Rhinolophus ferrumequinum: one gene and its partner. The protein of the gene in region 1 purifies or fractionates together with the protein of each later gene. This does not show direct contact. Links are inferred from orthologs where the notes say so. Each region holds a gene or a part of one and is shown on either strand. Other genes may lie near its edges.

What was found.
Region 2: the proteins of ESR2 (region 1) and COPB2 purify together in Homo sapiens (affinity purification with mass spectrometry; 3 studies listed by BioGRID and IntAct, with this or other methods). This does not show direct contact. The link is inferred for Rhinolophus ferrumequinum from reciprocal best matches to the Homo sapiens genes ESR2 and COPB2.

Annotation. Positions count from the first base shown.
Region 1 is NC_046289.1:31,538,577-31,546,343, forward strand, and holds the start of ESR2 (estrogen receptor beta), read left to right. Parts: upstream 1-4,758; 5' UTR 4,759-4,801; coding exon 4,802-5,220; intron 5,221-7,089; coding exon 7,090-7,262; intron 7,263-7,767.
Region 2 is NC_046300.1:38,297,383-38,305,365, forward strand, and holds the start of COPB2 (coatomer subunit beta'), read right to left. Parts: upstream 3,021-7,983; 5' UTR 2,887-3,020; coding exon 2,884-2,886; intron 1-2,883. UniProt on the Homo sapiens protein: The coatomer is a cytosolic protein complex that binds to dilysine motifs and reversibly associates with Golgi non-clathrin-coated vesicles, which further mediate biosynthetic protein transport from the ER, via the Golgi up to the trans Golgi network.

The DNA of each region.
Region 1 (7,767 bases):
ATTCAACCTTAAAAAGAAAGGAAATTCTGACACATGCAACAAAACATGGATGAACCGTGAGGATATTATGCTAAGTGAAATAAACAGGTGACAGGGCAACACATACTGTATGATTCCATTTATATGAGGTACCAAGTAGTCAAATCCATAGAGACAAAAAGTTAAATGGTGGTTGCCAGGGGCTGGGGAGAGAGAAAAATGGGGGAGCTGTTGTTTAACAGATGTAGAGTTTTAGTTTTACAAGATGAAAAGAGTTCTGGAGATTGGTTGCATAACAGTGTGAATGTACTTAATACTACCCTACTGTACACTTAGATGGTTAAGATGGTAAATTTTGTTATGTGTATTTTACCACAATTAAAAAATTTGGAAACTGCTAATTTTGACAGTAGCTAGCATTATATGCTTTTTCCTGCATATTTTCTCTTAGGAATCAGGGAGAGTTATGTTGATTAGGCATCTAATTGAAACACGAAATTATATACTCATGATTAGTAAATGCCCATAGATGTAAAAAATATATATATATAAAAATTCCTCGATCCTATATTCTTCTCCAGCTACCAATCTCTCTCCTATCCCTTGTGGTCAATCAATGTTGATTAGAAGTGGTAGGTAGCACTTTTGTATTAGGTCCTTCTTCTTTACCTGGGCCGTTCTGCCTCCTTTACCTGGCACGATGGCTCCTTGAGGCAGGGTCCATGTCCTGGGACTCCTTTAGCTCTCCTGTCTCAGCACAGTAGCACGCCTACTGAAAGTGCTCCCATCTTTGATTAATAGCCTTGACTTGGTGAAATCTTATATTTTAAACTCATTTCCTCATATTCTTTGCTTATAACAAATATTTATTGAGTTGTAGTGGAAGGTGAATATAGTGTGTGCCTCCAAGGAGTTTAAAATCTAACTTGTACTTACTTCTTTCTCTCCCATCCCAACTCTACCATTTCCAAGAAGGATTCAATGTAGTTGTAATCTAATATAAAGGATTAAATTGGTTTGTAAATAACTATAGGGGTGCTAAGAGTGAAAGAAGTACTAAGGCATAAAATGCCAACTACTTCAACAGTGCATTTTGCATATTCTTTAAGGACATCGCTGGTTTCCTGTAGGAAAATAACAAGAGATCAGAGTGGAATGATGGGTTGGGGCAACATAGTGGAATGCCTTGAATGTTAGAACAGTGTGACTTACTAGAGAGGTTGGTGGGAAGCAGAGGGCTGATCAGAGCTGGGTTTTAAGAATGTTAACCTGGCCGGTCGTGGACCTGGAGAAGGAGCTAACTAGGGACAAGGAGTAATAAGGAGCCTGTTACAGATGCGCAGATAAGAAGTAATGAGAACTTTCAGATGGTGGCAGAAGACAGAGTGGGGAAAAGATACTCTGAAGTGGGTAAAAAAATGCGTTGGTGATTCAAGGTAATTGGATGAAGAGGAGAAGTCAAAGGTAACTGTAACGGGCTTTGTCATGAACACAAATAGGAAATGAGTGGTTTAGGGGAGGAAAATGATGAATATTACTTTGGATATTGTATTAATTAACTAGTGCTCTGTAACAAAGTATCATAGAATTTTTATAGCAACTTAAACAACGAACATCTCACAGTTTTTGGAATCAGGAATCCAGGAGCAGCTTAGCTAGGTCGTTCCAGCTTAGGTTTTTTCATAAGGTTGCAATCAAGATAATTGGCCAGAGTTATAGTCATCTGAAGGCTTGATTGGGGCTGGAGAATCTGCTTCCAACGTATCTCACTCCCATAGCTGTTGGCTGGAGGCGGTAGTTCCTTGCTGGCTGTTAGCAGAACGTCTCCATAGGGTTGCTTAAGTGTCCTCACAATATGGCAGTTACTTTTCCTTAGAGTGAGAGATCCAACAGAGTAAGCCAGGAAGAGGCTGCAATGCCTTTTATGACCTAGTCTTGAAAGCCACATACCATTCCTTTTGCCATAATGTATTCATTAGAAATGAGTCATTAATCTAGTCCATGCTCAAGGGGGAGGTTAGGCGACACCTTTTGAAGGGAGAAGTGTTGAAGAATTTGCAGGCTATTTTCAAACCACCATAGATATATTGTGTTTTGAGGACAAATGGAGGAAAAGCATTCAAATGAAAATGTCACGAGGAAGGTAATTCAGAGCCTTAGATAGCTAAGTTGCCTACATATGGAAGTAGGTGATAGCTGGAGTTGAAGATATTAAAGATGGAGAACTTCTCAAGGCAAGTTTCTTTACTTAATGATCTCTCTCAAGGAGTCTCATTATTTATTAGTCATCTATTGTTCCCTTTTCCACATTATATTATTCCAGTTATTCTTTTTTTTAAGGTTTCCATTTTTAATCTTGTATTTTTTTGTTTTTTCTCCAAAGCTTCCTATGAAAAATTTCAAACTTATGGAAACATTGAAAGATTAGCATAATGAATGTCCATATGTCCACCATCCAGATTCAATAATTGTTAACATTTTGACTTATCTCTATCTATCTATCTATCTATCTATCTATCTATCTATCTATCTATCTATCTATCTAGTTATCCATCCAAATATTTTTTTTCTGAACTCTTTTTATTAGGTGGCATTCTTTTGTAAGGGGTTTCCCTCTACAGAGCCTCTTTAAAAGGCAGGGTACAGGCTTAATTTTTCCCCTTAATTACTAATTTTCAGAATGAGGAACTGGTGTATCAATCACTATCGATGGTAATAAATGATTCTATTCTTCTTTTTTTGATTAACACTATGGACTCATAGCCCAGAGGGTAAAAGTATATGTAATTTTGCTATATATTGCTATTTATATTACTATATATATAAATATCCAGGGGGGTTGTGCCATTTTGCATTCCCACCAGCAACATAGGAAAGAGTCCCTGTTTTCCACAGCCTTTTCAAGGGAATCTGTTGTCAAATACTTGAATTTTTTCCAAACATGATAAATGAGAAATGGTATCTTGGTAAAATTTTAATTTGTATCTCTTTTATGAATGGGATTGAGCGTCCTTTTATGTGTTTTGCTTTCTCTTTGTGTGTATGTTCTATTTGTGTCTTTTGCCTGTTTTTCTAGTGTATTTTTTTGTCTTTTTTTTAAAATCTTAATTTAAGGGTTCTCTTTATATACTGGGGACATTATCCCCTTTTTTCTAATCTAAGTTGAGAATATTTTTATTTCCAAGTTTCATTAGTCTTTTGACTTTGCCTATTGTGTGTTTTTATGACATGCCAAGTTTTACTTTTATGTACTGAATTGATGTGCTTTTATGTACATCCTTTTTTATTGCATCTGGATTTTTAGCCATAGTTAAGGTTTTCCCCACACCCATTTTATAAAGGGATTTACTTTGTTTGCTTCCAGCACTCGTGCAGCCCCTACCTGTCCTTTCCCCCTTTTCCCCCTTCCTTCCATTTCTCTTTTAACATTTGGATCTCTGAACCATTTGGAGTTTATTCTGACATGCATTCTTTTTCCACTGGCAATTCGGTTGCCCACTGTTTTCCCAGTGATTTGAGATGCCACCTTTATCATATACCAAATTTCTGAAAACATTTGAGATTTTGGTTTTGCTGTTTTGGGATTTTCCATTCTGTTATGTAGCAGTCTGGGCCCAATCAGAAGATAGAAAGCACATAATAGGTTGAACAGGGGAGGTTTAATATAAAGAATTACTTATAATTAATTACCTATGGTAAGGGACTAAGTATAAGATATAAGGAAACTTTATATGGTACCCTAGAGCTGAGAGAGCAAACCCAAGGAAGGACAAACTTAGAAGGGATCAGACCTCAGGGGGGAAGGTGGTTGGACCATTAACTGGCAGAGATGTTCGCTGATTTAGCCAGGCTGGAGCTGGTCAGGAGTTGCAGGCCGGGAGCGGGTGCTCAGTGACTGGCGGTGTGGGCATACCCCAGGAGGCCAGGTGCCCATGGGGGCAGAAGACCTTCAGAATTGCAGGTCATGTGGAGTGAGGAGGCTTGCAGGGGGAATGACTTCTCAGCATGTGACTCCTCAGGCCACAGTCTGGACAGGTGATTGTGGAAAGTTTATCACCACACAGAGGCCGAAAGTTTGCAGTGGGACCTCCCTGTGGACACGTGGCTGGGCCAGACTCCATTGCATGTTCTCAGACCCACACTGCCACCCTCGTCTTGCTACAGTACTCCTGCAGCGCCCTCTACTGAAAAAGTTTAGCATTGGCTCACTTTAAATACTACAGGAATTCCATTTATTATAGAGCATATATTGAAGGGTGCATTGGAAGCTGAGAGACAATGAATTGATAACTGACACAGTTACATTGACCTGTCTATTCCTTGTTTTTTATTATTGGCAGTTCACAGTGTATTTGAGTATCTATTAATGCTGGTCCTGCTCATTGATCTGCTCTTTCAGAGTTTTCCTGGTTGTTCTTGTTTATTTGTTCATAAGAACTTTAAAATAAACTTGTTCCATATTAAAAGAAGACAACTTATTGACATTTTAATTTAACCCTGTGTTTTTAATTTTAAAAAGCATTTTATAACAAATTCTCATGGTAAAAAATATTCTTGTGGTTAACAACAACAAAAGCAATAAAGAAGTGAATGAAGTAGAAAATGAGAGTTCCGTGCCACATATTCCCATCCCTCTGAGGTTAATATTTTCATGTATATCTTTCAGGATGTATTTCTAAGTTCATACAAATGCGTGTATGTGTTTAATAAAAATGTGTGAACACTTTGAACAGGTATGCCTGTAGCTCCAACTAACTTAGAACTGTCCTTTGTTGTTCTTTCCAGCCATTATACCTGCTCATGAGACTTTGAGAACATTACAATGTCGCTTTGTGGCTCTTCTCGCAAGGAGTTTCCTCAGATATTACCCATTCAAGACATGGATATCAAAAACTCACCATCTAGCCTTAATTCTCCTGCCTCCTACAACTGCGGTCAATCTGTCCTTCCCCTGGAGCACGGCCCCCTATATATACCTTCCTCGTATGTGGAGAGCCACCATGAATATTCAGCCATGGCATTCTATAGCCCTGCAGTGATGAATTACAGTCTTCCCAGCAGTGTTGATAACTCGGACGGTGGACCTAGTCGACAGACCACAAGCCCAAATGTGTTGTGGCCAACTCCTGGACACCTCTCTCCGTTAGCAATCCATTGCCAGTCATCACTTCTGTATGCAGAACCTCAAAAGAGTCCTTGGTGTGAAGCAAGATCATTAGAACACACCTTACCTGTAAACAGGTAAATCCAGTCTTCATTCTGAATTGTATTTCATGAGCATTATTCAAATCACTTTATGATTTAGTGAGAAGAAAGATGTGTATATACAAGGTTTTTATTAGTCATATAGATTACTCAGAGCATCTAAAGCGTGATATTCTGAATTCTAGAATATCTATCCTGATATTTTAGCTGTCATTAAAAAGTTGAGCTTGTAGATTTGTGTGGTGGGGGAGAATTCACTATCATGACTACTGTCTTTAAACAATAAAGATTGAACTTAAATCACATTTCTCTTGATGAAGTGATTTGTCTTTGAAAAATACATTTTTATTTTGCTTTCAGTTTGAATCCTTCTTATCTGGTAGTGAAATCACAAGTTAGTGTTCATGACAGATTGCATCCAGGATATAAGTACCTGTGGCAGTATTACAACTTAAATGAAATACTTGACACGTGAAGCCTGAAAAGACAGACAATTGGTATACTAACTTTTTAACAATGGACTAAAATAATATTTTGTAGAGATTGATGGGAAACTGTTTAAATGTAGACTTTAGTTGAAATTTTTAGAAGTTAAAAAGAATATTTGTTTATACTCTTTAAATGCAAGGTAACACGGTGGTTATTGCCATTTAATTCGTAATATTTTTAATGATAATTATAGCTATGGAGGGAAGGGGTGGTATAGGGAGACGCATGAGGGGGAGGTAAACTTCTAAAACAACCAAAGTCTAAGTTACAGCATGTTGGATATTGAAGTTCATTACTTTCAAATGCTGTCATAAAGCTTTGAGAAAGCCATATTATACAGGGTTTTAATTTTTTCTTCCTTTTAAAGAACTTTGTTGGCAAAATTAAAGACTATATAGAAATTGTACATAGCTTTTTTAAAAGTTTTCATTGTCTTTCATGGAAGAAAAGTTTGGTTTCTGAGCATGAGCTCTAATCAGAGTTCTGCTAATATTTGGGTAATTTAAACCATAGTATAATTCCCTTCATTTATAGATCAGTCACACCTCTACTATTTCCTTTCCAAAAGAAATGAACCCCAGGGAAATCAGGAACCAGACGGGTGTGTTTTGGGGGCCTCCCAGTGCTCCTTTCGTGGGCTCTCCCTTCATCTACGGAAGTCCTTGCCCCTCCACTCGGCAATGAGCACCTGCTTTCTTCAAAGCCTTCTCTCAGGACACGCGTGTGTTCACTCTGTCTCCTTCTGTTCTCTCTTCCCTTTTTTCTGCTCCCTTCCCCTCCCTTCCCTTCCTTTCCCTTCCTCCCCTCTCTAAACCAGAATATAGCATTCACCTCAATGTAACTTAAAGTCCATTTGCTACTCCTCTTAAAGTTCTTTTCATCCTAGACCTTTATCTTAAATTGCAGAATGAATTCTGAATCCCAGGTTACCTGGGAACTCTGAAGGGCTGTTGAGGGCCCTGTGGGGATTGACTGCCTGATGCGTGGGCGTGGTTAGGTGAGTTTAGGCCCCTCCGTGCATGTCGGTGAACTTCGGTAACTTCGGAAGGCCTCCACACACCTACTCGTGGTTCAGAACTGTGGGCAGGACTCAATCTGGTCACTTATCCCATGCAAAGCTGTGCACCACGATGGCTACAAGTGGTCTTCCGTAGTCACTAGTGCTCATCAGTCCTGCATGGAAGGGCATAAACTCACCTAATCACCTGCAGACCTCAGTCATTCCAGCAATGGGACCCTTCACAGATCTCAGTAACAGAGGTTTTGCTTTAGCAGATTTCCTGGAGTGTATTTGTCATAAACCCTGGAGGGCAAAGAGATAAATGGGGCAATGTTCTTGCTGCTTTTCTTTCTCCCTAGAAAGTTCCTCCTTTCCCCTTAATGCTCTTTTCCAATGAATGTTTTCTTTGCCTCCAGAGAGACACTGAAAAGGAAGATTAGTGGGAACAGTTGTGCCAGCCCTGTTACTAGTCCACGTTCAAAGAGGGATGCCCACTTCTGTGCAGTCTGCAGCGACTACGCGTCGGGATATCACTATGGAGTCTGGTCGTGTGAAGGATGTAAGGCCTTTTTTAAAAGAAGCATTCAAGGTATAAGCGTATTGTTAGCTGCTGCTTTAGTTTTCACTTACTTTCAAACAGTTTTGCAGATGACCTGGCAGAAATGTCACTGTTGGCCTGTTTGGTACTCAATGAGCAGTTCAGAAGATCATGTGTGTTTGGGGGTGAGGTAGATGGGAGGGTGGATTGTTTCAAGTGTAGAGCGCTTTATCTTTCATTGTAGATCTCTACCCCAGAACCCCAGACCTCAGATGGTCTCGCCCTACCATTATCCATCACCATCTTCTTGAGAGCAGATATGTAGTTACAACCCTTGTGAAGATAAAGCCTGGAAAAAAATGCACACTCATTAGAAATTGCAAAGATTGTTCCTTCCCTTGACTTATGCTTAATACCCGGCATGGGTAGCAGTCGTTATGGTGGGCTGGCTCCTGAGGAATAGAGAATAAATACATTTTATGGAAATGGTCAGAAATCAGGAATTCAATTCTGATGGACTTTGAGCATTGATCTCGGGGTGTTTCTTACCCTGAAC
Region 2 (7,983 bases), on another chromosome or scaffold:
TCACAGGGCTTTTATTCATTGTTTTGCATCTGTATCAACTGCGGGTCACCGATTACTTCGAACCTTGTTCTTCTATACATGCCTCCCTCACTTTTAGCGACAACCTATACCTCTCAATCTACTTTAAAAGACCAGAGTTCTCTGGCTCTTCTCTACAATCACCACAAAAATGTTTCCAGTCATTTCTCCTGATCTCAAACTTTCTACTTTCAAACTATCATCTTCACGTTCTTTGCTCATTCAGGGAAGCAGGACCTTTTACTTCACCCATTTCTGAATTTTGCCCCATTAATTATCATAAAAAATTTTACCTCCTTTTTCTGGTCTCTTCAGAATCAACAAACATGACATGTGTCTACTATGTGCCAGGAACCATGGTGGGGCTTTCACATAAGCCATCCCACCTCATACTTTAAATCCTCTGGTAAATTGGACACTTAAATCAACTGTACATTTTACCATAAAAATGTCTTAACTGACTGATTACTGAGAAGGTGGATCAGGGGACTGAGCAGTCCCAGTATACTTCTACCTGCACCCAAAGCACAAATCCCAGTTTCAGAAGCACAGCGAGGAGCTCTTGCCGTATTCCTCACAACATTTAAGTGACTACTTTGAATGAGACCTTGTCCTAGGCACTGTGAAGTACAAAGGTGATTAAGGTACTCATTCTGTACCCTCCGTTCTAAACATCTCCCCTCCATCTTCCAAAAGCTGGACTTTGAGGGCGCAGCTTAAAAGCTACTGCCACCAATATGATCTTTCTGATTACTCTAGCCAGACGTATACGGGATGCTGTTAAAATGAAGATTTAATTTGAACCTTTAACATTTGTGCATAGTTCTCTTTTTGCTTTCTAAAGTAGATGCTTCCCAAGGGCAGGATCGTTGCTTATTCATTTTATCTCCACAGCACCGTATGTAAACAGGGGTACTCTGGGTATTATTGTCATCTGGTTCCAGACCATTGCAATAAAGCAAGTCACATGAATTTTTTTGGTTTCCAAATGCATGTAAAAGTTATGCTTATACTATACTGTAGTCTAGTAAGTGTGCAATAGCATTATATCTAAAAAACAACGTACACACCTTAGTTACAAAATACTTTATTGCTAAAAAATGCCAACCATCACCTGAGCCTTTAGCAAGTTGTAATCTTTTTGCTGGTAGAGGGTCTTATCTTTAATATGTACAAACAAACAAACAAACAAAAAATATCTGCAAAGTGCAATAAAACAAAGCATAATGAAACAAGGTATGCTTGTATTTGGGTTATGGGGGTTTACGGACAGACAGTATAATCCAGATCTAGAGAATCATGCTGGATTCAAATTTCAGTTCCACCCTCATTTCAAATGTGCAACAGTAGACAGATAGGTTTACTTCACGTCTCTCAGGTTTGACATAAGTAAAAGCGTCATAACACTATTAAGTACCTCTTAGTATTATGAGAAATAAATTCAGTGTTAAGCAGTTAGAACAGTGCCTGATCTATTGTAACCACTGCACAAATATTAAGTCACTCTCCCAGTTGTGAGAATTAGAGCACACAGTAAATACCCTATGATAAATAAGTGAATAAAGAAATTAGCATTTTGAATCTTATACAAAAAATTTTAAATGTGTTAACGAATGAAGGAAATATTTTATTATAAAAATACGTTCTTAAATGTAAAAATTGCAAAAGAAAACTAAATTAGGCAGATCCAAAGGCCTTTTCCAAAAATGTCCATTACTGAAAGCACAGCAGACCCCAGACCAAAGCAGGTAGTAATATGAGGTGGTATAAGTAAGACACTTGAAGTCTTGCTCAGGAGCCCTTAACCTGGGGACTCAAGAAAGTTCATGGATGGCGGTGGGGGGTGTCTTTGTAATTTACGTAATGCTGTGTTTCTCTATGCATTTTTCTGAGAGTATCCAAAACTTTCACCAGTTTCCCCAAGGAATCACTCTCTGTTGTAGTTCTAACTCTGCCTCAATTAGCCTGTACAAACTTAGTTTTAAGTTTTTTTTAACTGCAAGATGAACAACTTGGACTTAATTCCTAAGACCTTTAAGCTCCAAAAATCTTTGAACCTGTGCTTCTTCACAAGTGGAAAAAAAAAGGGCAGGAAAATGTTTAAATATAAAACATTGACTTTCTTCCATTTTTTTCAGAAAAGGTATTTTCACACTACTGTATTTTGTTTCCTTATTATTGTAACACTCTTGTGCAAAAGTATTTCAGCGCATTTTGGGGATGAGGGTGATAATTACAAAAGTGCCCTTACGACTGACATTTCCACCAGCCACTATATTTGCAAATGCAAAAAAGCAGGCCAGTTCTATAAACAACCCTCTAACCCTTCTTTCCCTCCAGTAACCTAAGCCAGAATCCCAAAGCAGTTGAAATTCCACTTTTGACTCCATATACACTTTACTTTCTTGCTTGCTTCTCTGCTTAAGTCCATAACTTGTGGTCAGCACACACTATACCAGTAATAAAATAAGTTCAACATGAATGCAAGACCAGCTGTCACCGTGTCAAGGGCAGAATGAGGTAGTTTTGCCAAAGCCTTCCACGAAGTTCGTTTTCGGCCTCTTGTATGTATTTCCCTACACCACGGACCCCGCTGCGCACCAGGAGCTCTGTCAAACGCCCTGAGCACCGGAGAAGTTAGTGACCTCTCAATTCCAGGCACGGCCTCCCCAAACCATCCGGGTCTCCGGGGTCCCACCGCCTCCTCCATCACAGATCTCAAACTGGCCCAGGACCCCGCAAGGCCTGAGGCGGGGGCCGCAGCGGGAGCCCAGACGGCTTCTTACCGCGGCCCCAAGTCCAGGAGCCCCAGGAACTGGCCTCAGCCGAAGGGGCCTTGCTCCCTCCTGCAGGGTCTGGACCTACCATGTCTCCGTCGGTCCCAGGCCGTCCGCCCTCACTTGAAACCGGCAACACAACCCCTGAAAAGACCCACCGACCCGCTGACCCGCCGACTGACTGACGTGGAACTTCCGTAAGACAGTTCTCGCGATGTAGGGGACCAGCGCGAGCGCCTGCGCAAACCAGGCGTAGGCCTTAAGTGTCCCAAGCCCCTCCCCAGTTACCTAGGCAACGGAGCCATCCTGTTGCCGCGTGAGCAGGGAGGTGTGGCCTCGGCCATCAAGGGCAGTGGCCGGGTGCTGCTGAGCCCGGACGGGAACTTGAAAGCCGAGAGATACGTAAAAAAAAAAAAAAATGGGAAAGACGAAATGTTTAATCCCTGCTGGACGCTAATGGCAGGGGAAGCTCCCCTTATAGTGAAGTTGTATCCCAGAGGCTGAGAAGCGCTGTCGGGCTCTGACTGAGGGGAGGGATGGGGAGAGAGATGAAGGCGAGGCAAGGCTCTAAGCCCACAGTATTCTGATGGGCTAGAGATAGAGGCCCAGAGACTTCTCTGCGGGCCCTGGACTTGGCTGGCGCTGATTGAGGCTGGAAAGATTTGAGCGGGACTCCGGGCTGAGCTTCAGGCCTCTGAGGTCAGAGGGAGGTGAAGAGCCTTCAGTTCTGGAGCTCCCCGGAGATGGGACTACCAGCTGCACACGATCCCTTTTTATTGGGCATCGACTGTGTTATTCATTCACCAATGTGTGTCTATCCTCAGCTGTGTGCCACATGAAATCTAAAGGATCCCTATTTTACTGATGAGGAAACTAAGGCTCAAAGAAGTTCCCTGGCCAAGGCTGCATCTTAAGCAGTAGAGTCAGTATTTGATCCCAGACCCCTATGTCCTCAAAGCCCTGTGCTCTTTCTACTGCATCCAAGTATCTCTTCATTAAGGTAGTTGGACTCTAGAATAAAGATCTGCACCACTGCCAACCACCCTTCACCTTCCATTTCTGCTTTTCTTCTTTTTTTAAATACCAGGGGCCAAATAAAACGTGTCCTCTGACTACATATAAATGAGTACCTCTGGCCTGAGGGAAGCCTTGGAGGTTTTCTTAGACCTCTAGATTTTCAGAAATGCAAAAATAAATGAATAAAAATAAAAATATCTGTATTGAAAGTGACAGTCAGAGGAAGACATGGACTCTGAATCAGTAATTTGGCTTTTAGGATCTTTGCTGCTAATATGATCTCTTCGTGGGCTTCAGTTTTCCTCATTAAAAAAAAAAAATTAGGTTGAATAATTTCTAAAGACCCTTCCCTTTAGTACCATTTTGTGTTTCCGTCATATTCAATAGTAGAAAGAAGAGTGGGTCTGGAACTGGATTTTAGTGCCTGCAGTGTGATGTTATGATATGTAAATTGAGACTAATTGAATACTTTGCTTATGCTTTTGAGGATCACAAGAGTCGAAAATTTTACAAATATGAACTATACCTAATTTGCTTGAACTGGAGCTTCCAGTATTTCTGATTCATGGATACTCTTACACTTGAATAAGTATCTTCAGACTTTGCACAGTGCCAAATAATACAAAATAAAGTGATAGATCATCTGTCTTCTCAAGGAACTAGTTGAGAATACTCAAATTCTTGTATTCCACTAGGTACCCAAGGATTTACCTAGCTGGTATTGATGAGGGGCTGAGCAATCAAGTGTCACACTCACCTTGACTATATCTTTTGTCATTTTTTCCACTACAGTTAAGTAACATTCAGTTCTGCAGTTCTGTACTGAGTAACATTCTGTACTCTAAATTCATTCTTTAAATCATTACATACTGAATTTGGCTATATTCATTGAGAAGGGTGGTGAGGGAGAAGGATGGAGAGGAAGGATGTGGCTAAAACTGAAAAGATTTTTAAATAGGGAGGAACTGGGCTTTGATTCAGTACGCAATTGGGAAACACTGGGCCAGAAAAGAAGCTGGTTCATATCCGATCCCATAAGATATGCCTTTTATAGATGTGTATGAAGAAATGGATTGGGACAGTGAGATACTTCACAGGTTTTGGGGAAGTGGGTGTGGAAATAACAGTAATAATGAATAACTTTATTGAGTGCCCACTATGTACCCAGCATTGGCACGCAGAAGCACTTTGTACGCTGCAGTTTAGATTGTAGTACCAAAATATAGGCATTTTCTCCAACTTATAGATGAGAAACTGAGAACCAAATGGATTAACTAATATGCTCCATGCCACACTGCTCAAGAAGGAGTGATGGACCTCAGATCTGAACCCAAGTCTATCTTGAAAACTAATGCTCTTTTTACCGGACTGTGAGTTCTTCCTCTTTCACTTAGAAGCTAGAATCAACAGGATACACAGATGATTGGAGTTTTTGTGAGTTAAAGGATTGGGAGGCATCCTAATGCTAATGCCTTGAATCGAATGAACCCAGAGGGAATGTCTTTAATTAGAAGAAGAAGTGGAGCCAGTAAATGACACAGAGGGGGAACAATTAGAGTACGACATCTAGGAAAACTGTATGCCGCAGAAAGAAAAGGAAGGACAGAGTCGGGGGACTAGAAGTCTAGATGACTTTGGAGAAGTTAAGGAGGCTCGGTATTTGAAAATAAAAAGAAACCGTTGCCAATGAATTAAATGATTACGAAGACAGTAGTCTTCAAAACATTTTCAGTTGAGTAATGCCAGGGGCAGCAGGTTTGCAAGGGATTAAGAAATGATTGAATGATAAAGTGGAGGTGGTCGCTATTTTACCAGAAGATTAGTTATGAAAAGGCAAATGTTGATGTCTCACTGAAAGTGGATCGATTGTTCCCATGTTTAGGGTGCAGTTAACATTACCTACTTCATGACAGTAACCCTCCAAATGGACGTACATGACTAAATGGACCTTTACAGTGTGAGTAGGAACTAACCGGACGAACATCAAGAGGGTATACACAGGGTAGTCCGAGAGAAGGGAAGTGAGAGTTTGGTTTTTCCAGAGAACTGAAAGTAGTTTAGCATGCCTGGGCCAGAGAACAGGTGGGGGAGGTTGAGAAACAGAACTGGAAAGATAGATGAAGCTCAGCTCCTGAATGTCTATGATTGCCGGTTTAAGGTGTCTGGACTTTATCCTGAAGGGAACCACTAAAGAATGTTAACTAGGGTAATCTTTATGCTCCATTACTGATTCATCATTGCATGTCAGTTATATTCCCCATTAAAGGAAATATTACGGTTATCAGCTAGATTTCTGCTTGCAGTGAATGAAAGTGAGGATTTTGACCACATAATCACATACCAACCATCAACAGACTGAATAGAGTTGGAGAACCATTGAGCTGTCTTCCAAGAATAATGAAGCTTGCGGTTACCCGACACGTAGAGGCAAAAGCTTTGACTGATTGCAAAAGCATTGAGCGACTACAATGTGCTATGCACTTCATATGATTACCACCTGAGAATTTAAAATTGGTTCACACAAATTTACTCCATGTGAGTTTGATGTGGATTCGGGATGGAAGGTATGTTTGCTTTTGTTTACCAGAAAGCATAAAAATCCAGATTTTTAGTCCTGTTTTTGGCGTGGGTGTAATTTTACCTTTTGGAAAATTGCATGAACTTCGTGTTGTTTTAAACATTTTTAGAGGAGTCAGAGTTTAAAGTGAGCTTTGAATGAAATGAAGGAGGTGGTATCACAGATAGGAATTATGAAACATGTGATTTAGGGACCTCAATAGTGTTCCATGCACCCAGACATTCTACCTGGCTCTTCACACGTGGGGTGCTAAGATCACCCATGGCAAATCATAACAAGCAGTCTCTGGAGATTTCTCTGCCCCGGGGTTGTCTTGTGCAGTGAACTGTCTGGGTCTCAGTTTCATTACCCTACAAAATAATGTTGGACAAAATAAACTCTAAAGTCCCTTCCTATTCCAAGCTTCTTTAGACTTTGGAGTCTGTGATTCTATGTTCTTGGTAATTATGTTTCCTATGAATACAGGATGTATTCATAGACATTTTTTTTTACTCCATTCATGTGAATACACAGTTCTTCCTGCATATTTCACAGCGTGCACTGCTGTTTTACTCTGGAAGCAACCTTACATCAGCCAATTTTTGTTGAGGCTTCGTTGTGCTTGGAAACATACTGTACAAACCTGAGGCCCTGGCCCTCAGGGCAAAGAACCTGGTGGGTGTGAGGGGACCAGGAGTAGAGGACCAAGTGTGCACAGTATATGAGGTCCCCGGTGAAAATTCTCTGGCAGCCAACGCTTAACTTTCTTTCCAGAGAAAAGATTTTGCAAAGTTTTACATACAACTTTACGTAAGCAAGTTGATAGGTTTAGAGCAATTATGTTTCCTCAAGAATTATGTCCTTGTAAATGACAGTGCTGCCTATAAATAAATGAATAATAATGACAAATAGCCTGGATATCTGGCATATAGCAGTTACTTTTAAATTAATTGAAAAAAATTTAATGTAAAAGTGAAATATCTGGAGTGACAAGGCACTGCACAGTATAATTTCCACCAAATTGCCCTATTTTACTTTCTTCTAAAGAATTTGTCAGCTCAAGTTGATCTAAGGGCATTACTGAATTTGAATTCAAATGTGGTTCAAGCCCCAAGGTTTAAAAATGAAGTCCTTGGGCTCTGAACTTCTGATATGTTTTTGTAACTGAAAATGATAATCGAAATCATATTGAGCTACATTCCTACAAGGTTTTTCATTTGGTGTCAAAGCAACTTCACATTGATAGTGCTGGATTCATTCACTAGAATCCAATAAAGGTATTGTCTCTAAGAAGAATAAATTGTTTCTTTTGCAAAATATGGCCATACCTTGGTGCATCCGACATTGACAGTGAATACAGATGTAACTCTATCTTGAAGATGTTTCTGTATAAAGTAATTGTTAATTGGATCAGACACACACACACACGTACCTACACATGTAGGGAAAGTCAATATCCGAAGGAAGTGGAAGGAGGTTACAGGTGCTTTTGTTTATTTGTATTGTCTAACTTTTCTATTATAAACTTATACTGTGTAATCCAGAAAACAAATTATTTTACCCAAATATAAAACGTAGCAAAGGAGCTTGTCCTTTGAAGGAAGGCTATTTTGA